Linked DNA regions of Danio rerio. The protein of the gene in region 1 binds, or shares a complex with, the protein of each later gene. Links are inferred from orthologs where the notes say so. Each region holds a gene or a part of one and is shown in the gene's direction. Other genes may lie near its edges. The genes, in order: coa1, ecsit, cmc1, timm21, ndufaf1 and smim20.

Region 1 (4,147 bases):
ATAAATATTTATTTATACATTTAAAAATAATAATAATTTAATTATGCATTTAACAATTTGTTTATATATTTATTGTGTGTGTGTGTGTGTGTGTGTGTGTGTGTGTGTGTGTGTGTGTGTGTGTGTGTGTTTAAATAGATCGATTTTTACACCTGCATCCTGCTGAAAATAGAACATCACAAACTACTCCAAATACGTAAATACAATATAAATACACAAATATTTGTAATGTTTTGTAAATAGCAGCACATTATTTAATTTTAAGTAATTTGCCCTCTGATTGTATATTTATTTATTGATTGATTTATTATTAAAGGCATTCCGTTAAAAACAAAAAACGTGACAAACTTCTCAAAATAAATAAATATATAATGGATAAACAAATACTTTTCAACTATATTAGCTTGTTTTGCAACTAGCAGCACATAGAACAACAGGTTATTAAAATTTTAGTTATTAAATACTGCAATACTGCCAATGCATGACTGTTTCATACATTTTCCTTCGGTTTAGTCCCTTTATTCATCAGGAGTCGCCACAGCGGAATGAACCGCTAACTTATGCAGCATGTTTTACACAGCAGATGGTCTTCTAGCTGCAACCCAGTACTGAGAAACACCCATAGAATCATTCAAACAAATACACTACGGCCAATTTAACTTATTCAATTCAGCAATAACAGTTACACGCATGTGTTTGGACTGTGGGGGAAACCCACGCCAACACGGGGAGAACATGCAAACTCCACACAGAAATATTTGTTTATCCATTATGCAGTCGAACCAGCTACCTTCTTGGTGTGAGGCGACAGTGCAAAGCACTGAGCCACCGTGTTGCCCGTGTATGACTGTTGTCCATGGAAATAAATGACCGTGTTCGTGAAATCACCAAAGACGACACATTGAAGACGCGCATCTGCATCGCGCTCAGCGCTTACTAAAGCACGCGCAAATTACACAACCAATAACGCGCTCACTCTTCAACATGCAAACATGTAATACTGTGCTCACCTGTGAATGTCCCCTCACAGCCTTTGATGTGGTTTTCTTACGCAACGTCAGCGAAATGAGAACGATAATGACATTCATCAACTGTGACTCAGGAAACTACTTTCATAACTCTTTTTTCGTAACCGCGCGTGCGTCTGACGTCACGCGTCGCACGTGTTTCTGTTGTCAAAAATGCAGATCCCAAATAAACATGCGATCTTGCTAAATTAATAGTTGGTAACATTACAGAAGATTGTACTGTATCATTTACAATATGATAAATCGCTTGGGGATTTCGCACGTGTGGTGCTCTTTTTTTCTAAAGATTTGATTCATTGACGTTTGAATAAAGTTTTTCAAAGAGGAAAATGGCCGCGTCCATAATGCGCCGCTCGTAGCGTCTTTATAAAAACAATAATAATCCATGTGCGGGTGAGTAATTTTATCTTAGTCAAAAGCCATTAAAGCATGCATTAATCTGTTGAATTTCAAGGCTCAATTCTGTTGAAATTCAGGGGCATCCATTTAAAATAAAAATAATGTTTAAGACCATCGTATATCTGCTAAACACCTTTCACTAGCAAAAAAAAAATACCACAGTATTACATGAATATTAATACGGTAGTAACCATGGGTTTGTGGCGAATTCATTAAATATATACAGTATATAACCAGCTTTACCAGAAATACCATGGTGAAGCTATGGATATTGAATCAAATGCCAAATGCATTTTCAACGTATGTTTGCATGGTTTAAAATATATAAGTATTTCTGGTAAAGCTGGTTATACTGTATGTGTATATATATATATATATATATATATATATATATATATATATATATATATATATATATATATATATGTGTGTGTAACCAGCTTTACCAGAACTACCATGGTGAAGCTATGGATGCATTTCCAAGTTATGTTTGGAATATTTGTATCGTTTAAATATAACAGCCAGATATTTTATGTATTATAATTACTTATAGGAAGGCAAATTTTTTGTCAGGAACAGTTAAGATGATAGCCGATTTAACAATATTAACACTTTAGTAATAGCTTTTTTTGTATCTATGATCGTCTTTGACGTTATTTATTATTAAACAAATCTGAGCCCTATAGCTATAATGGCCATCGCTAATTTGTGTCAGAGACGTTATTATTACGTCTTTTAAACACATTTCTGAGTCCTATGACTGTAGTTTTCCAAGGTCATTATGGTATATACACACATCCACAAATCTGAATAACTAAGAAATAAACAAATATTATTAAGCGGGTGAAGAAAATAATTTCGAGGATGTTCAGGCTTTACCATCGGCCTGTTGTTGTTTATTTAAAACAGTAACACTAAACAGCAAAATGGAGTCAAATGCAAGAATTTATGCAAGAATCTAATTAGTTTTTTATTTCTGGATATTTATCAGGGTACCCGTAGGGTCTTAAAAAGTCTTAAATCTACTGAAATATTGTGTTGTTTTTTTAAGAGGTCTTAATTTTCCTTTGTTCATGTGTAGCTACCCAATCTGGCCATTAACACCAATACAGTCAACGACAATCCATCTCAATAAAACTTTTAAGCTTTTATTTAAAAATAGCATTTAATTACTTTCCTTACAGTAACATTTGCTTACACGATATTTACTGCTGTGGATACTGACCTGACCTATATATTTTATTTTATTATTATTATTATTATTGTTGACTGAAATAATTGACAGCTATGTTTTTTTCTATTCTTCATAAGGGTTATAGGGTTTGTAAATAGATATATTTGGAAGTTAATAAAGCGAAATTCTAACAAAATATTTTATTATTGTATTATTAAATGTCTTAAATTTTTATATTTTTTGTGAAAATCAAAGTGAAAATCTTTTCTAACTGGAATATTTAAAAAAAAAGTCCTGTATAAGTCTAATATTTAATTAATAATGGAACGTAGTTTAACTTGTGGACATTATTTCTGGACATTTTCGGATGTTTACACTGAAAACTGGTTCAGAAACTGCTTCAGGTTTATTAGTGTTATTCAGACACAAGTGAATTGCATACACTGATAAAAATGTTAAAAGCACGTGCTGTTTCAGCCCATTGTAGATATTTGCTAAAGACCTTTTACTAACCAAAATGTCTTTAAAACTCTTAAATTTAACTTTTCGGACATTATTTCAGGACATTTCTGGATATTTACACTAAAATATATTTAAGAAAAATGCTTCAGTTTTATTTAGTTTTATTCAGACACAAGTGAATGCATACATTCCTAATATTTTAAAGGCATATGCTGTTGAAAAAAGAAAAATCACTTTTTAGATTATTTTTACACTTTAGGGATTAATATACTACACAAACACAGACAGAGAGAACTGAAAAGAATAAGTGACCTCTTGTAAATTCTGATATTCTCTGTATTGATGATTTCTACTTATGTGTTTCAGTAAAACAGGATTAAATCGAGTGATGACATTTATTCCATTTAAAATGAAAACATTGCTATTTAGAGCATTTATTTTGCTTGAAATAACAAAAGGATGCCATGTTTCAGAATTTTTTTGGACAACACAGCATCAATGTTTTTACTTAAAATCAAGAAATCAATATTTGGTGGAACATTCCTGATTTTTATCTTAAGAAGAAATGCTCTAAATGACAATATTTCATTAAAATACTCCCATATAAAATTAGCAGAAAAAAGTCTTATCAGACTTTTATAAAAATGAAACACATATTAACATTTGACTGAAACATAACAAACAAACCCAAAACGTCCAGAGAAACTAAGAATTTCCAAGTGGTCTCTTCATATAGTTTTATATACATTACCTGACAAAAGTCTTGTTGTTGATCTCAGTTGTAAGAGCAGCAAGTAATAACTTGATTTCTAGTTGATCATTTTGAAAAAGTGGCAGAAGGTAGATTTTTCTGATGAATCATCTGTTGATCTGCATCTCAGTGATCACAAATACTGAGAGACCTATTGGAAGACACCAGATTCTCAGAGAAATTAGTCAAGTTTGGTGAAGGAAAAATCATGGTTTGGTGTTAAATTCAGTATGGGGGCATGCGAGAGATCTGCAGAGTGGATGGCAACATCAACAGCCTGAGCTATCAATAAATTTGTGCTGCCTATTACATTACAAACCACAGGAGAGGGCA
Region 2 (3,500 bases), on another chromosome or scaffold:
GTATGTTTATTTAAGCTCAGCAGTGCTGCATTTATTTAATAGTACAGTGTAGTTATATACAGGGTTCCCGCTTTTTCCATGAACACCACATTCAAGATTTTTTTTTTGCCTGAGCACCATTCATTTTAAATCAAGCACCTTTGTAATTCTTACCACAGCGTATGTAGCACCATGAAAGTCCTTATTGTACTTATCATTTCACTTACACTAAATATTTACATTACAAATATACAAATCACAGAGTAACTTTCTCACATTTTGACTGTTTTAAATGGTCGTTTTTAAAGATTTTAATAACATGTTTAAATGCAGTTTCTAAAATATTGATAAAATGTGCATTATTTGTCGTTATTATTGTATAAGAGTTACATTTAATTAAATATTTTTTTTTTTTTTTTGACATCAGCACATTACACTTGTTGAAATAACACCATAAACAAATTTAATTTCAAATCCAATTCAAGCAATTTCCAGCATCTATGTTGTTTTTATTATTATTTTTATTTATATATTTTTTTATTATTAATTGTTAACAAAACATACAGGCTGAAAAACCTATATAATGAAACATATCAATTAAAAAAAAAACACCCCCCTCCCCTGCGGTCTCTTGAAACTGGGCTTTACAATGAATAGAAGTTAACATAAAAACAAAAACAGAATACAGTATCAAATATCAATTATACAAAGCAAGGCAATCATTCTGGATCCTGATCATTTCTTTGTGCAATAAACAAGGAGATTTTGTCAGCAGCCAAAGTCCAGATCTGTAATGTACCCATTTGTACCAAGTTCACTCGCGCCGTGGATAACTCCAACATTATAATGTCTTGAAGTAGCATCTATGTTGTTTTTAAGTACTTTCTAGGCCTTAAATCGATATGTCTGAAAGGAAAGTACTTTCATGAAGTGTGGAAACCCTGGAAATATTATTTCAATTTTAAATAAATTTTCTATTTTATTCTGATTTAAAGAATTATATTTAAATATATTTTAAAATGTAATTTTAAGTCTTAAATTTCAAAAGCACATTTTTTGCATTAAAAAATTGTAAATTCACTGAAATATTGTGTTGTAGGTCTTAAATCATTTTAAACAGGTCTTAATGTACCTGTTCTAACTTACCGGTTGGGCCAGATGGAACCTGCGGACATTTTTTGCTATTTCTGCCCAAAATTTTTGTACAAATCTGCGGATTTATGCGGAATGATTTTGGGAGTATCATCACTAAAAGCTTAAAATATGCAATAAAAAGTGATACCTTTTAAACTTGAATTTAATGTTTACAATGCAAATCCATCTTGATCTACTTATTTAGTAAACAAAGCAAGACTCTCATATATCGACTAAAAGACTGAAAATATTCATTTGCAAAGTGTATTGTAAATAAATCGTATAAATATTTTCATATTAGTCAACAAAATTAATTTTAAAACTGAATAAATCTAAATTTACAAACATTTACACAAGTAAATAAACAGAATGAATGATGGGCTAAAAATCTGCAGAATTCCGTGCGCGCAGATTCCGTGTGGGGTTACATATCGGGCCGACACATGACAACTTTTTTTTTTATATTTAAGTTTTTTTATTGCAAAGAAAAGCAATTCAAAACAGCTGTTAAGACATGTTTTACAGAAAATTCTCCAAAATAAATTTGCTAATCTAATTTAGAAAACTAAAGCAACACATCCATTACATGATCTTCCATTAACACAAAAATTATCCGCTTGTTAAGTGTGACGTCACGTGAAGCGGCTTCCGGGTCCAAGCGCTCTATTCAACTGAATGGGGAGACTCATGAAATGGTAATAATAAACATTTACAAAGCGATTTAATGCTTTCGAAAATCACGATCGCAATATATGTCCATGTCTAAAATCCGATGGCCAGAAAGTGATTCATTGTTTATAAATTGTTAACATTTTGGTATTTGTTAAGGAGCAAGCCCAGAGATTGTTGTGTACACTGATTTTATATAAACTTAACTTTAATGTGTGATGGCAATAAAACTAATGATTTCTCCACTCAAATGAATGGCGGCTTGGACCCTGAAACAGTATACATACGTCACAAACACGTCACCACTTAACAAGCGGATTTACAGACGTAACCAGGCCAATAGAAAAAATCCTAAGTGTTTAGCCCTGTATACGTCTAAAATTTCTTTCATAATAGTCTTTAAAATCGTAAAGAAACCTGCAGAAACCCAGATGCAATGCTGAATATTCAGCAGCCATTATTCCAGATCCTTCAGAAATCATTGTTATACCCAGATTTAGTTCTTAAGAAACAATTCTTATTATCCAATTGAAAACAGTGTTTATTTCTATTTAAGTAACATTATAAATCACTGTAGTGTATTTTGTATTTAAAGTGCCTCCTGCTAAAAAGTATCTCATCGGTCTCATTCTTTTATTGGTAGTGTGTATTTCACAATGTTAGGAAATAATAAAGGCTTTCAGTCTGATAAATGTGATTTATTATCTTTTACTCTTTGCAGTATCCGTCAACAGACATCACAGAGACAGGAGAAGAGATCACACGTCCTCATATTGTTGGTATGTACTGTAGGTCTAACCATTAAATGTTTTCCATGTCTTTTAACTACCACTGAAAATATGAAAGATCTCATTTGTTTATCAACAAAATGCTTTGGGTCTTTTTAATACAAGTTATAATTATTTAAATCCAACAAAACAAAAGCTCAAATGAACATAATTTGCTTGCCCTAAAGTTATTATGAATACTTTTTTGTTTTTCTGTTAAAAACCTCAAAAATATACTTTGAAGAATGTTTGTAACTAGATGCCACTAATTTTTAATTTCTGGATATTGTTTGGAGAAATAAGCACGAAAAAGAGCCTATCGCATCTTTCATGTTATCAGGTATCCAGAGTCCAGACCAGCGCTCTCTTCTGGCCAAACACAATCCCTGCAAGCCTGTGTTTGTGGAAGGCCCATATCCACTGTGGCTCAGGCAAAAGTGTGTTCATTACTACCTGCTCAGAGCAGACCCTATACCTCCTGAGGAAAAGGTACTGGCATCGGGCTACTGATGGCATTTAATACATTTGCTTAATATATTATTATTTACATATATTTGATGTTCTTTTGAAACAAGCCCTTTATGGTCCCTAATGCTGCATTTGTTTGATTACAAATAAGTAAAAGTACTATTTCTTTTTATTATTATTATTATCAAAACTAAAGAGTTTTTACTGCCTTATATAATTATGGAAACTTAGTTTAACAATTTGGATAAAAAAATAATAATAAAAAAAAAATATATATATATATATACATTCAGCCAAGATAGATCTAATTAATTGAAAAACATCAATCGACAGTGTTTGCATTAATAATGTCTCAAAGGAAATCAATTTTCAAATAAATTGTGCATGATTGTTTTTAAATATTATATGCAGTAAAAACTATTTTCAACGCAACATGATTGTATTTAAATCCTTAATAATAATTTGGAATGACTAGTAATTAAT
Region 3 (3,500 bases), on another chromosome or scaffold:
CCTACTCTGTATCAGCAGTGCCATGGGGTTATTACTGAGCACAGAGAGTCAGGAGCTCGGTTTAACAGCAGTATAGAGTCCCCTTCACTACACTGGGGCATTAGGACTCACACAGAACACGGGTTGAGCGCCCCCTGCTGGCCTCACTAACAATACTGCGAACAGCAGCCTGGTGTTCCCATGTGCTCTCCCATCCAGACACTGACCAGACTCAGCCCTGCTCCGCTTCAGTGAGGGAGCGCTCTGGTATATCAGGTGATGACGGTCAGTTTCTGCAGGAGCTTTGAGGAGTGTAATTAATGCTTAATGAACACACACACACACACACACACACACACACACACTGAATGAGTTCCTGTGTTCAAAAGAGAAACAGCATTAATTAATTGTGTGTGTGTGTGTGTGTGTGTGTGTGTGTGTGTCCAGCGTTCAACGTCTGCTGTAAGGACTCGGGTTTCTTCATGGTCTTCAAGTGTCGTGAGGAGAACGCGGCGCTGAAAGAGTGTTTGACGCAGCAGTGAGTTTCTCTCTTCTACATTCACACACTCATTATCATTTTCCCTCAGATGTGTGTGTGTGTGTGTGTGTGTGTGTTTATTCTCAGCATGTGGTTTTGACTGAATTTAATCATTTCATTCTTTGTCAATATATTTTTTAAATTGTACAAATTTGTGCTTTAATTTTGAACATTTTCTCCAGCAATATTGACTTTGTTTAGTTTAAAGGGTCGTGAACAGACGTGTTGAGCTGTTGACAGTCGTATATGTGTCCCACACAGCTATAAACACTATTAGGACACGCGTATCACACTAAATGTGAAAATTGGTTGTTTTTGCGCTGTTTTGAGCTGATTCGTTCTTTCAGTTTGAAACAAAATGTGAATTTTATTTTTCCTAAATTTAACACGTTTTTTTTCTGAGCATCACATCCCCAACATTTAATTTCAATATTTCAAACAAAATCTAACAAGGTTTTCCCTAAACACATTTTTTTATTTCTGAGCAAGGGAATGTTAAAATCAAATGTAGAGAATAAACTCCGCAAGTTTTACTCTAAACACGTTTCTACTTTTATATATATATATTCTCACAATTAATTGAGTTTTTCCTCAACATTTTATTTTTCAAAATGCAACAGGATTCTTTTTTGTGTTTGAGTTGGATTTTATTCTCAACATTTTACTTTGATATTTGGATTTATTTCTAGACAAATCAACAGCTTTATTCTCAAAATACAACACTTTGTTTTCTTGAAGAACATTTAATTTACAGAACAAACTGCTGAAATATATATATATTTTGAAGATAAAAATTCTGAGAAAAAAGTTTGACTCCAGACACTTTTTTTTGTTTTTCCTCTGAATTGGTTTATTCTCAACATTTGATTTTGGCATTTTTAAAAGGATTTATTTCTCAAAACAAAACAACTTTATTTTCAAAATTCAACAGTTTCTTGAAGAACACCTTCAATTTAGAGAGAAAAAAGTGTTGAGAATAAATGTAGAAAACAAGTTTTACTCTCTGAATTTGAGTTTTTCCTCAACTGTTTATTTTTCAAAAGGCAACAGGATTCATTTTTCTTAGAGTTTGATTTTATTCCCAACAGTTGATTTTTACATTTTTCTTTAAGGATTTATATCTCAAAACAAAAACAGCTTTACCCTCAAAATCCAACACTTTGTTTTCTTAAAGAACACCTTCAATTTAAAGAACACTAATATTAATCTTTTTTGCTCAGATTGTAATGATTTTATTTGAGCGTTTGATTATTATTTTTATTTTTTCTGAGTTTGACTTTCTTCATTTGATTTTGACATTTTTCTTAAATGATTTATTTCTTAAAAAACACACAACAACCTTAATCTCTAAATGACACGTTATTGAAGAACACTTTAAATTTGGAGGAAAAGTTTGAAATCAAATATTGAGAATAAACTCATCAAACTTAGAGGAAACTAGATTTACTCTAAACACTTCAGAAAATAACGTTTTCTTTCTCAGAATGTGAAGATTTTATTCTCAACATTTATTTAGATTTTTTTTTCTCAAAATCCAGCAGTTTTTTTCTGAATTTTACATTATTTCCTACATTTTATTCTTAAATGATTTATTTCTCAAAACAGTTTTGTTTCTTGAAGATCTCGTTAAATTTAGAGTAGAGAAGGAAATAAAATATTGAGAATAAACTCATGTTCAGATGATAAAAGTTTTACACTAAACAGGTTTTTTAATCAATTTGTTTTTGTCTCAGAATGTAAGAAGTTTATTCTCAGCATCTTAAAGTGTAACACACTTTCTCAAAACACAACAGGATTTTTTTTCTCCAAAAATGAATTTTTTTCCTCTAAATTTGACTTTATTAACAATATTTTGACATTTTTTCTTCTTCTTTTTTATTGTTTTGTGTGTTCGGCTGCAGTTATCGGGATCCGGTGTTCTTCGAGGAGTGTAAACAGGAATATCTGAAGGAGAAGCTGCAGTATGAACAGACCGGCGTCCCGACCAAAAGCAGAAAACAGAAGCTTCCCACCAGCATGTAGACACACACACTCACGCACGCACGCACACACACACTCCCTTTATATTCATGATTAATCATCCCTCGCTGATCATCACTCAATGCATTCAATGCACATGTGTGTGTTTGTGTGTGTGTGTGTCTCCAGGGAATCAAACACACAGCGGGTCTGAAACACACACACACACACACACACACACACACACACAGATCTGCTGTTTTCTGCAGGTTTACATGTGTTAAACGTGCAGATTTACTCCATTCAGATGTTGAGCGCTGATCGCTCTGATTATAATAAAACATGTTTAATGTTGATCTGTTGTTTATTTATATGTGTACAGTTGAAGACAGCTATTATTGTTGTCTTGCACATTTCTAATCATAATAGTTTTACTAACTCATCTCTAATAACTGATTTATTTACTCTGTCATGATGACAGCACAACTAGATATTCTTCAAGACACTAGTGTTCGGCTGAGTGACATTTAAAGGTTCACCAGGGTAATCAGGGTAAAGTTATTGTTTAATGATTTGGAAAATACTTGGGGAAAAAAATCAGCATTTCATTAATAAATTTTGCCTTCAACTGTACAGAGTTTATTCTGCCAAAAAATGACCAAAACAAAAGAATATTAATTATTTCATTAAAATAAAACCTAAATCTGAAAACTCCAATTAAAAGATTAAAATATGAGATAAAACTGTTAATGAAGTCCGTCTGTGCCTTTAATGTATAGATGTGACATGAAGCTGGATTTTCATCATCAGAATATTTGTGATTATTAATGTTTCATGATGAAGAATAAACTGCTGCATTCATTCGAATCAAATTTATTTACTGTCATTTCTGAGTCATTAAATTTTTGCTTCATGAATAAATACATTGATTTCTTGTTGATGTATCATTGATTGGTATATATATATATATATATATATATATATATATATATATATATATATATGCAAATTTTATATAAATATA
Region 4 (2,482 bases), on another chromosome or scaffold:
ATTGTAGCTGTTCAGTAAATAAATGTCTCCTTTCCTCAACAGTTAAACAAGCTGGCAAAGATTTCACCTATTTGATCGTAGTGCTCATTGGACTCGGTGTAACAGGTAACCAGGTCTGGATTGACGACTCTTATGTTTCAGGGCCCCATTCTCTGTTCTTACTGTGCCAGAAAACCAACAGAAAGCACCAACATGCATTTCCTAATGATGATAACAGGATGATGTCTAAATAGTGATATTAGTTATATTTTATTCACTTTGGATTTTGTATCAGCAAAATGTTCATTATTGCTAACATAGTAATTAATTTTAGCAACATGCAGGTCATGAGTTTAGACATTCTAGGAATGCTAACCATTTTTGTTATGCTGACAAAATGCTAACTCATTTGCATTAAAACATGCTAATAACAGTATATGTTATGAATATGCTAAAACATACATGTGGCTATGTAGTAAATGGTCATTCGTTCTAGTAATGCTTGCAATGGTTTAAACATGTTAAGAAATTTGCAATGTATTGCTTAAAGACAAAATTATCTGTTTACATATATTATGTAATAACCAAATACTATTTAATAAAAATGCAACAAAATTACTAAAATTAACAACTACTTCATTATAGTTTATTATTGTTCAGTAGTTTTTTTTTTTTTAATGATTTTAGTAATTTTGTGTATGATATTTTTCCACGCACATAGTGATCTTAACAACTTTGAACTCATTCATTAATTTTCTTGTCGGCTTAGTCCCTTTATTAATCTGTGGTCGCCACAGCGGAATGAACCGCCAACTTATCCAGCAAGTTTTTACACAGCGGATGCCCTTCCAGCCGCAACCCATCTCTGGGAAACATCCACACACACTCATACACTACGGACAATTTAGCCTACCCAATTCACCTGTACCGCATGTCTTTGGACTGTGGGGGAAACCAGAGCACCCGGAGGAAACCTACACAAAGGCAGGGAGAACATGCAAACTCCACAAAGAAACGCCAACTGAGCCGAGGTTCGAACCAGCGACCTTCTAGCTGTGAGGCTACAACACTTCCTACTGCGCCATATAACATATAAATAAACAAGTATTTATATTTCATTTCAGCTCCAAAGTCTTTTTTTTTGTTAACGATAACACTGACTCAAATACAATACATGAGACAGACATTATAATCATACAAATCAGTTAAATTCATATGTATTTATATAGCACTTTTTACTATATATATATATATATATATATATATATATATATATATATATATATATATATATATATATATATATATATATATATATATTGTGTCAATACAGCTAGCCATAGTCATAACATGATAAAGCCATCACTTTGCAAAACTGTGGAACCTTTTAGCAATTCAGGCAGGCAGGCAGGTTATAATCATTTCTATGCATATTTTTTTTAATTTGTATATACATATTATTCAGCAGTATAATAAGTGAACCGATTAATGTTTTCTAATCGCTTTAGGTGGCCTGCTGTATGTGGTCTTTCAAGAACTCTTTTCCTCTTCAAGCCCAAGCAAAATCTATGGAAAAGCTTTCGAGAGGTGCAGATCTCATCCAGAGGTCAGTGATTCATTAGCTATATATATCACATATGTGTAAACCTAATGTCTGAAATGCATGAATAAATCAGCCTGTTGACTACAACTTGTGATCTAATCATATTGAGCTAATCATATTCATCTGTAACATATGTTCATAGTTTTTCTACTGTAGTGTGCATACAGTACATCTTTTACCTCATTTAAACATTATAATATGTCTATGTTGAGAGGTAAGCATGATAGAACACCCAATAAAGGGGGAGAGCATGCTCAGAGCCTGGCGGCTAATCAGCAGGCCAAAAACTAGAATAAACAGGTGTTGCTTATTATTTCTGATTGGCCTGCTGATTAGCCGCCGGGCTCTGAGCATGCTCTCCCCCTTTATTGGGTGTTCGATCATGCTTACCTCTCCACAGTCTATATTAAGTAAACCTATAAATTACAGTGCATCCAGAAAGTATTCATAGCGCTTTCCTTTTTCACACATTTTTTTACAGCCTTATTCCGAAGTGAATAAAATTTATTTATTTCCTCAATTCTACACACAATACCCCATAATGACACTGTGAAAAAAAGAGTTTTTGAAATTGTTTAAAATGTATTAAAAATAAAATACCTGAAAAATCACATGAAAATAAGTATTGACAGCCTTTGCCATAAAGCTCTAAATTGAGCTCAGGTATATTCTGTTTCCACTGATCATTCATGAGGTGTTTCAGCAGCTTAATTGGAGTTCACCTGTGGTAAATTCAGTTGATTGGGCATGATTTGAATTTGAAAAGGCATACACCTGTCTATATAAGGTCTCAGGGTTGACAGTGCATGTCAAAACACAAACCAAGCATGAAGACAAAGGAATTGTTTGTAGACCTCAGAGACAGGATTGTCTCCAGACTCGGGAGGGTTGCAGAAAAAA
Region 5 (4,171 bases), on another chromosome or scaffold:
CTGTTTTTCCAAAATTTTTCCAGGCCTGGAAAATGTCATGTCAAAATTCCATGACTTTTCCAGGTTTTGCATGACCGTATGAATCCTGAACTCGTCTGTCACACTGCAATATTCTTCTGTTATTTTGCTTGTTTTGGCAAAATATGTCTGTAAGCACATGTGATTGCATGTGTTACCATCCCGTGAGTTAACAAACACGTTAAATGTTTACACAGCCAAACTTTAATCAAATTGAATACTTGTAGAGATATCATTATTAATTTGCCTTATACAATACATTGTTATGACTTTCTTCGGTAAGATTTTATTTGATGGTCCCTATTTCACATTTTGTTGGCTAAAAGTTGCATTGCAACTACATGCCAATTAATTCTCATTAGAGTATTAGTAGTCTGTCTGCTTAATATCTGTTGATATTGCTCTTTCAACATTGAACTGACTATAAGAAACTTTGCAAGTACATGTTACCTTACACTAACCCTTACCCCAATCTTACAGTCTACTTATAATCTAATGAGAATTAGTTGGCATGTGGATGCAATGTAACTTAAATTCAACCAATGAGTTAAATGGACCATGAAGTACTAAATAAAGTGATACCCATTCTTCTAATAACTACCCTAACTAATTATTTATCTTATTAATTGTCTAAAAGAGCTTTTTAATGGTCATTAGCAGTTTTATCATATATCACGGTGGGTTTGTTATTTATGGACAAAACAGTCAACTTTATTACATGAATATTTCTCCATGCTCTTATATCAATGAATCATGTGACTTTCTACCCAATCAGAGAGCATGTTTCTGGGAAGTGTTTGATGAGCGTCTGTCCGCTCTAGTGTTTCGTCTTATTTCTGCAACCGAAATAGAAGTTTAGCCGCGGCGCTGTGACGTCATAAAACAGTAAAGGTTCTAAACGCACGCGACTGCTTTCTTTACTAAAGCCGAAATGCGCGCGCACTGCAGGCCACAATAAAAAGCACTCCAAGCATCCCGAATTCAGGTGTAACTGCCTCAATAGCAGCACGACGCCACCATACAGGCCCCTGCTAACCAGCTAGCTTTCCCACATCACTTAGCATGGGACTCCAACACACACATACAGTCCTGACACATTTGTGCCCTAGAAATCGGCAAACAGCGATGTTTTTGGATCACATTCGCGTCAATGAGGTTCCTACCTGATCCAAATTATCATCGCTCGCACTATCCTCCGAGTCGGAGTCAATCACGACCCGACCTTTCCGTTTCTTTACATTCACCATGGTTAGCTGCCTGGCTCCCCTGTGTGTGTGTTTAAACAGCAGCGCCGCACTCCTCCACACAAAGGCGCTAGAGCTACACCGCGCATGCGCACACGCCACCACAAATACATCGACAAGTTTACAGTACCACTTACGTGCTGTTTCTGATAATGTCAAATATAATGTAAAGTACATTAACCACAATTATGATAACATTTGTTAACCACTAAATGTGGGGTTGGTAGGGGGTGAACTGCGAGGAATGTTCGTTGTCGGTAGGACCATAAGCGGATGTCCTTGTTTCAAGTAAGGGCAAATTAAATGACGGGCCGCGAAGGCGCATTTGACTTTTGTGTAAGTATTGCTTAAATATTTTTAATTTATTTATTGATATGTTGTTGATAAATGTGGTCACCGTCAGTGTTTGTACGTTAGCTTTGCTGTAACAATTAAACTTAATCTTCAAATCATGAAGTGTGGGGATTTTAACACGTGTTATTGTACCGCTGACCCTCTCTAGATTAATTTATAACCTTGTTGCTATGGAAGCCAAATATGATAATCCACATGCAAGAGGAATTCCCTGAAAATTACATCTTCATGTATAAAAACTGGCAGATTTATACAAACTTAAATTGCCTTAATAGGTATATACTGTTGTGTAATTGTATTTGTAAATAATTTCCATTTGGTGAGCTTCTACGATAGCAGTTATTTAAATGTACATTTTATTATATTCTCATCTGAATCCATGATTATTCACTTAATCTAAATCATAATAGTAATTACGCATTTATATATTATGTCCACTGTTTTTCTCTAAACCTTTCCATAGACCCTCTTGCACCTCCTTGAAAAAACTCGAATTCAAGAGATCAGCACCATTTTCAGGTACATTAATTTAATAATCACAATGCAAAAAAAAAAATGTTTTTTCTTACTTTGCTTTATCTCTTTTCTAGTCCAAATATCTAAAAAAAATCTTAATCAGGGAAAACTATTGCTGTGTTTTAAAATTCAGATGAAATGAGGCGAAGTTGAGAGTTTTCTCCTTAAAACAAGCAAAAACTTATGCTAGTGGGGTAAGTTAAATAATCCTGTTTTCACTTTGAAATGTAGATGTTTAGACTAGAATGACAAAAAACTTAAACGAATGTACATTAATTTTGTATTAAAACATTAATGAATACAATTCTAACGCTTTTGGTCAACTATAATCCAGACTTAACATTGCATGTCTTTGCAATGACTATTGCAGATGTGCACATTGCGATATCGATGCTGAAACTATATATTGTGCAGCCCTAGTTCCTGTTCAGTGATAATTGACTCAATAATTTTTTCTACAGTTTAAAACCTTCAAAGGGGTAGGTCACCTCAAAATTAAAATATTGTTCTCATTTACTTACCCTTTACTTGTTTCAACCTTTAATTAGTTTCATTCTTCTGTTACACACACAAAGTATATTCTGAAGAATTCTTAAACCTGCAATCATTGTTACATGGAATTTGGTAAGTGGTTACAGATTTTTACCATTCTTCAAAGTATCTTTTCTTGTGTAGAAGAAAGAAACCCATAAAGTAACCATTGAGTAAAAGGGTCGTAAATTTAAAATTTGTGTGAACTATTCCTTTAAATCAGAACAGGAAGTATTACATTTATAAAATAAAGTATGGGTGACTCGGTGGCTTGTCGCCTCACAGCAAGGTCACTGGTTCAAGTCCTGACTGGGTCAGTTGGCATTTCTGTGTGGAGTTTGCATGTGCTCCACGTGTTGGTGTGGGTTTCCTTTGGGTACTCTGGTTTCCCCCATAGTCCAAAGACATGTGCTATAGGTGAATTGAATAAGGTAAATTGTCTGTTGTGTGTGCGTCTGAGTGAGTGTGTATGGATGTTTTTCAGTACTGGGTTGCGCTGTGTAAAACATATGCTGTATAAGTTGGCGGTTCATTCCACTGTGACAACCCCTGACAAATAAAGAAACTAAGCTGGAATGAAAATAAATAAATGAAAATAATGGCTCTAAATGATGCATATACGATTTTACTGTTTGTTATAAATGTTTTTAATTTTTTCAGCAGTCTTCTGGATGTCTAATCTGATCCCAAGAGCTACCCAGACTAAATGGCTGTATCGAGAACAACACTCAAGTCCCTGTATGGAGTTTGTGGAGTGGTTTACAGACAGCCTCTGTTGTTCCCTTCCTCACTCAAATGTGCATCTATACAGATCACCAGGAGCAAGTTTGAGCGAGATTACCAGAGACCCGGTCAGCCTCCAGACACACGCTGGCCTTGGCAGATGATAAACTTTGATTTCTCCAAAGGTGTGGAGAGTGTCAGGAAGCACTTTGGCTTGTTAAAGGATGAGTTTTTCCAGCGCTGGATTGGACCGGAAGGAAAGCCAATAATAGAGCACATGCTGGAACAGACCCGTGTCGTGTGGGAGTTTCGGGGTCCTGAGAGTCTAAATGAGTGGATTGTGTCATCTGATCAGGAGATTGGGGGCCGCAGTGTGGCTTATGTCAGTCTGGGCAAAAACAACACCACGTGTTTGCTGTATGGGACCTTGAGCTCCACCCCTCCACGTGATGGAGAGACTCGATACAGTGGATACTGCTCTATGCGCTCCAAACCCCCAAAGGTCAGTGCTGAGATCCCACATCTGTGTCTCTTTATTATTTTTACCAACATTTAATGCATTTACTTAAGATTTTTTACATTCTGCAAACGTTATTCAATCAATGCATTTGTACAGCAGGTATTTAAAGAAATGGGACATAATACATTGCCAGATTCTTTTAAAAGTGCAGTAGGTGATCTTTCACAATGCTAACAGCTTAGCATAAATCTCTGAATCACAGTCCCTCCCCTGCCGTCCAGAGCCACGCCTCCTGAAACAGGAGCACGTGCACCTTAAAGATGAC
Region 6 (3,992 bases), on another chromosome or scaffold:
ACATTGTTCATTTGAACCAATATAATGCACTTTTGCCGAATAAAATCACCAAATATTTTCTTAATTTGGATTTTAATTTGCTACATACACCTTTTTAAACCATTGATTCTAAATTAATGTTGGTTTAAACGTTATCTTCATTTTAACGCAGTTATTTATGCCTTTGTGTTTCTAAATGTAACCTACATTCTCTAAGTAAACAGCAACGCTCAGCTCTAATGCACTGGCACAGTCTGGCAGTGATGGATACCAATAAATAAGTAATAAAGCTTCACATAAAAAGAACGGAACTCAATTTATGACGTTAGAGAATTATAAAAACATAGTTTTCACACAAAATGTGTTAACAGTGCTTGACTCTTCTGTGGAGCACAAAAGGCAGAATGACTCTCAGTGTTCATTCAGTTTCATTGTTTGTTAAAAGAAGTAAATGGTAACGATGTCAAAACAGTTCCACGGATAGAAGGGAACATACAGTTTGATAACAACAAGAAGAATGCGAGTAAATCATTTCATTTTAATTTTGGATATACCGTTACTATTGCTTTAACGCTCATTAGTGGAGTGTTTTAGATCCGTCACTGTCAGGAAATGATAGCCTTTTAGTTTCGTCTCAGATGAAAGTGAATGATAGTGTGCTTAATATACCAACGTACGGTACAGCTAAACAACTCTGTAAACTACGAACCAAACGGCTTAGTATACGACAAAAACAAATGTAAAGCCGGTGTGAGACACAACAGGAGGAAGCTGGAGCTGGAGTACCTTGGGTTTGGTACCCACACCCGCGCGGTCCGGTCTCTGGACACCGACACGAACGCTCCGTCCGGGAAGGCGACAGCGGCAAGACCCCGGACATCCATGTCGTGCGCCGGGAGAGAAGAGCGCAGTCTGTATGAGTTACTGCCGGACATTTTTACAGCTGAGAGACGGCGATCACTACACACACTGACACAGCAACACTACACACATACACAATGCATGACGGGACAACACCGGGCAAAATAAAAGCCGCACTATCAATTATAACACTGACATGATCATATGAAATACTTCTATTTTTATGAGTACAATATCATACTTCTGTAAATATTCATTAACATTATAATAACCCTAATTTTGCGCTTGAAGTATGCATAATATATTTTAGTTAAGAACAGACTTTAAACTTTTTATTTCTAACGTGAACTTCACCCCGGAACAACTTGAGTGTGTTTGCGTCCTCGAGTGAGGTGAAACTGTCAAAATCATGTCCAGTTCTAAGAGGATAACGCTCATATTTGGAGGCTTCGTTGCAGCTGTTGCTGCAGCTTTTTATCCTATATTTTTTCATCCTCTCACACACTCTGAAGACTACAGTAAGTGTTTAATATCACTACTACACATGAAGTCACCGTGACACAGCCTAAACTTAACTTATGTCATAACGTCACATTCGATTACCCTGCATTTTGTAACTTATTAATCGTATTGGAATAATATATTTGGTGACATAGATTGGGATTAACGTTAGGCATGGGAAAATAACTGTTAACGGTTTTCAAGGTATAGCGCGGTTTGCAAAAGTTAAGATTTTAAAATTGTCAACATTTTCTTATATAACTTACCGTTTCTAAGGTATGTGTACGATTTTTTATTTACATTTCTTTTTTATGACAACAGTATCTCCAGCAGAAACGATATCCAACGATGTCATTTTAAATGGTTAAAAAGTTAGTGTTTTTAAATCAATTGAAGACCACATAAGTCAATGATTCATTTGAATTATTTAGCCTCACATGTTAACTGTTCTAAACAATTTTAACTGTTTCTCCAAATAAAATATATTGTGTTTAAAGTGGGGGAAAATGTTTTATTTTTACCCAGATATTTAAAAAAAAATACATTTTAGATCAGTAATCACAATACCATATACAGTATTACCGTAGAACCGTGAAACTGTCATATTTTATTCAAGGTTATCATACTGTCAGAATCTTATCTTATAAATTTATTTTCATCTAATAAAGCTGTTAAAGTCTCAATCAAAATAATTCATAATTGCCATCCAATAAATACCAAAACTAGCTAAATATAATAACAATATTTTCCCTTTATGCATTTTGTACTCAATATAATGAAACACTAAATAATTTATTTTGGGAGTGCACTTCCTGTCAAGTGTTTTGGGTTGACTTTTTCGATTTCATTAAAAAAAATCTTATTTCCAAATTTCTGTATTTCCCCAAAATGTTTTTCTTTGGTTACTTTCTGAATGTAGATCCTTCTCTTTGTAAATTTATTATTAATTTATTGCTTTTTTTGGCTAAATTTTACATTCATAAATGTAAATAAAAAAAAAAACATCCTTACTTTTTATTTTCAGAAAGGACTATTATATTACATGTAAAACTCTTTTAAACTTGTTTATTTTGCTGGAATTTTAGTCATGTAACCCTTTTTGTTTCTTTGTTCATACTGTATCTTTGTATTGTTCTTTCTTGTATGATAAAAAAGAACTTTAAAAATACATTTAAAAAACGTATTATTGGGATAATCAGGTTGAACAGTCGTTATAATCTGATGTAAATTATAGAAATAATATTTCAGTGTTTTAAGGAATGTACACATATTATGATGCTGATTTTATTCTACGTTGAATTACATACAATGCAGAGCTCTCTTGAATGAGACATGTTGTATGTATATTAGGTTAGGTTACTTATACCCAAAGGTAGATTTGGTTTGCAGTCAAGAGTCCTCATTTCATAGCAGTGCCACACTAAAAAACTCACATAGTGACAACAACAAATAGACATAAAACATAAACGTACAAAACGTACACTCTTTAAAAAAAAAAAAAAAAAGAATAAATAAATAATTATTTCAAGAGCCAAAATCACTCTGGACCCCTCACACCCAGCACACTGCCTCTTTGAATTTTTACCTTCTGGTCGACGCTACCGAGCACTGTGCACCAGAACAGCCCAACACAATAACAGATTCTTCCCTCAGGCAATCCATCTCATAATTATGAAAAGAAAAAACATCACTACTTGCTATAGCTATACACTTTTAATCCACATATACACTTATTTAGCAACATACTTTACATGCCAATTTACACATAACAGCTGCACATATAACGTATATAATAATACACATGTACACACACTTGTCAATTTGTATATTTGCATTCACTTTCTACTTCTATTTTTAAAATACATTTTTTTATCTGTTTTTTTGTCCTGTCTTTGTAATTCTGTTGCACTGTAGAAAGCTCTGTCAGGAAAGCACGTGTGAACACACCTGGCAGTAAAGCTTTTTCTGATTCTGATATACAAGTATCGTTTACTTCTACAGCTTGTTACAAGAAACCAACGACTAGATGGAAGGAGCTGAAACTCTGAGTGTAGGGGATTTTTATTATGTGTTAAGTTAACTTAATTGATTTGTGTTGGGAATTGCGTGGATTCCAGCATTTTGCATTTTTTTACAGTGCAGTTTTTCAGTGTATCTGCGGAGTCTTAAAAAGTCTTAAATTTCTAAAACAAAATTGAAGGCCTTAAAAAGTCATATTCACTGGAATATTGTGTTGTAGGTCTTAAATCATTTTAAACTGATCTTAATTTTCCTCTGTCCAATTAAAGCTACACAATCGGGCAAACATCCATCCAATCACCAACAATCCATCTTAATAAAATCAAGGAAAGAGAACTAAAAACCATTACACAGTTCCTCATGATAATAACAGAGTAATATATCCCTTTCCTTTCCCAGGGATGGGTTGCAGCTGGAAGGTCATCCACTGCGTGAAACAGGTGCTGGATAAGTTGGTGGTTGATTTCGCTGTGGAGATCCCAGATAATAAAAAGACTGAGCCGAAAGAAAATGAATGAATATATCCCTTAACATTATCTTCCATTCATACAAAAACTCTTTACAGAAGTAAGGGGGAGTAGACATAATATTTATAAATAGGCATTAAACTTAAAGTTTTTATGAACAGAAAC

The links.
Region 2: coa1 (region 1) and ecsit share a complex: the UniProt entries of both Homo sapiens proteins name them as parts of the mitochondrial complex. The link is inferred for Danio rerio from reciprocal best matches to the Homo sapiens genes COA1 and ECSIT.
Region 3: coa1 (region 1) and cmc1 share a complex: the UniProt entries of both Homo sapiens proteins name them as parts of the MITRAC (mitochondrial translation regulation assembly intermediate of cytochrome c oxidase complex) complex. The link is inferred for Danio rerio from reciprocal best matches to the Homo sapiens genes COA1 and CMC1.
Region 4: coa1 (region 1) and timm21 share a complex: the UniProt entries of both Homo sapiens proteins name them as parts of the MITRAC (mitochondrial translation regulation assembly intermediate of cytochrome c oxidase complex) complex. The link is inferred for Danio rerio from reciprocal best matches to the Homo sapiens genes COA1 and TIMM21.
Region 5: coa1 (region 1) and ndufaf1 share a complex: the UniProt entries of both Homo sapiens proteins name them as parts of the mitochondrial complex. The link is inferred for Danio rerio from reciprocal best matches to the Homo sapiens genes COA1 and NDUFAF1.
Region 6: coa1 (region 1) and smim20 share a complex: the UniProt entries of both Homo sapiens proteins name them as parts of the MITRAC (mitochondrial translation regulation assembly intermediate of cytochrome c oxidase complex) complex. The link is inferred for Danio rerio from reciprocal best matches to the Homo sapiens genes COA1 and SMIM20.

Annotation. Positions count from the first base shown.
Region 1 is NC_133177.1:53,227,630-53,231,776, forward strand, and holds the start of coa1 (cytochrome c oxidase assembly factor 1 homolog), read left to right. Parts: upstream 1-1,347; 5' UTR 1,348-1,421; intron 1,422-4,147. UniProt on the Homo sapiens protein: Component of the MITRAC (mitochondrial translation regulation assembly intermediate of cytochrome c oxidase complex) complex, that regulates cytochrome c oxidase assembly.
Region 2 is NC_133182.1:17,780,470-17,783,969, reverse strand, and holds part of ecsit (evolutionarily conserved signaling intermediate in Toll pathway, mitochondrial), read left to right. Parts: intron 1-2,503; coding exon 2,504-2,561; intron 2,562-2,889; coding exon 2,890-3,038; intron 3,039-3,500.
Region 3 is NC_133191.1:59,052,759-59,056,258, reverse strand, and holds the end of cmc1 (COX assembly mitochondrial protein homolog), read left to right. Parts: intron 1-426; coding exon 427-517; intron 518-2,418; coding exon 2,419-2,539; 3' UTR 2,540-3,348; downstream 3,349-3,500. UniProt on the Homo sapiens protein: Component of the MITRAC (mitochondrial translation regulation assembly intermediate of cytochrome c oxidase complex) complex, that regulates cytochrome c oxidase assembly.
Region 4 is NC_133199.1:17,615,565-17,618,046, forward strand, and holds part of timm21 (mitochondrial import inner membrane translocase subunit Tim21), read left to right. Parts: intron 1-42; coding exon 43-105; intron 106-1,487; coding exon 1,488-1,585; intron 1,586-2,482. UniProt on the Homo sapiens protein: Participates in the translocation of transit peptide-containing proteins across the mitochondrial inner membrane.
Region 5 is NC_133188.1:36,685,625-36,689,795, forward strand, and holds the start of ndufaf1 (complex I intermediate-associated protein 30, mitochondrial), read left to right. Parts: upstream 1-1,371; 5' UTR 1,372-1,598; intron 1,599-2,079; 5' UTR 2,080-2,135; intron 2,136-2,206; exon of another isoform or gene 2,207-2,265; 5' UTR 2,266-2,326; intron 2,327-3,323; exon of another isoform or gene 3,324-3,326; 5' UTR 3,327-3,369; coding exon 3,370-3,888; intron 3,889-4,171. Other genes in the region: RNA polymerase-associated protein RTF1 homolog, read right to left, coding at 1,182-1,265. UniProt on the Homo sapiens protein: As part of the MCIA complex, involved in the assembly of the mitochondrial complex I.
Region 6 is NC_133182.1:65,051,106-65,055,097, forward strand, and holds the start of smim20 (small integral membrane protein 20), read left to right. Parts: upstream 1-1,192; 5' UTR 1,193-1,249; coding exon 1,250-1,358; intron 1,359-3,992.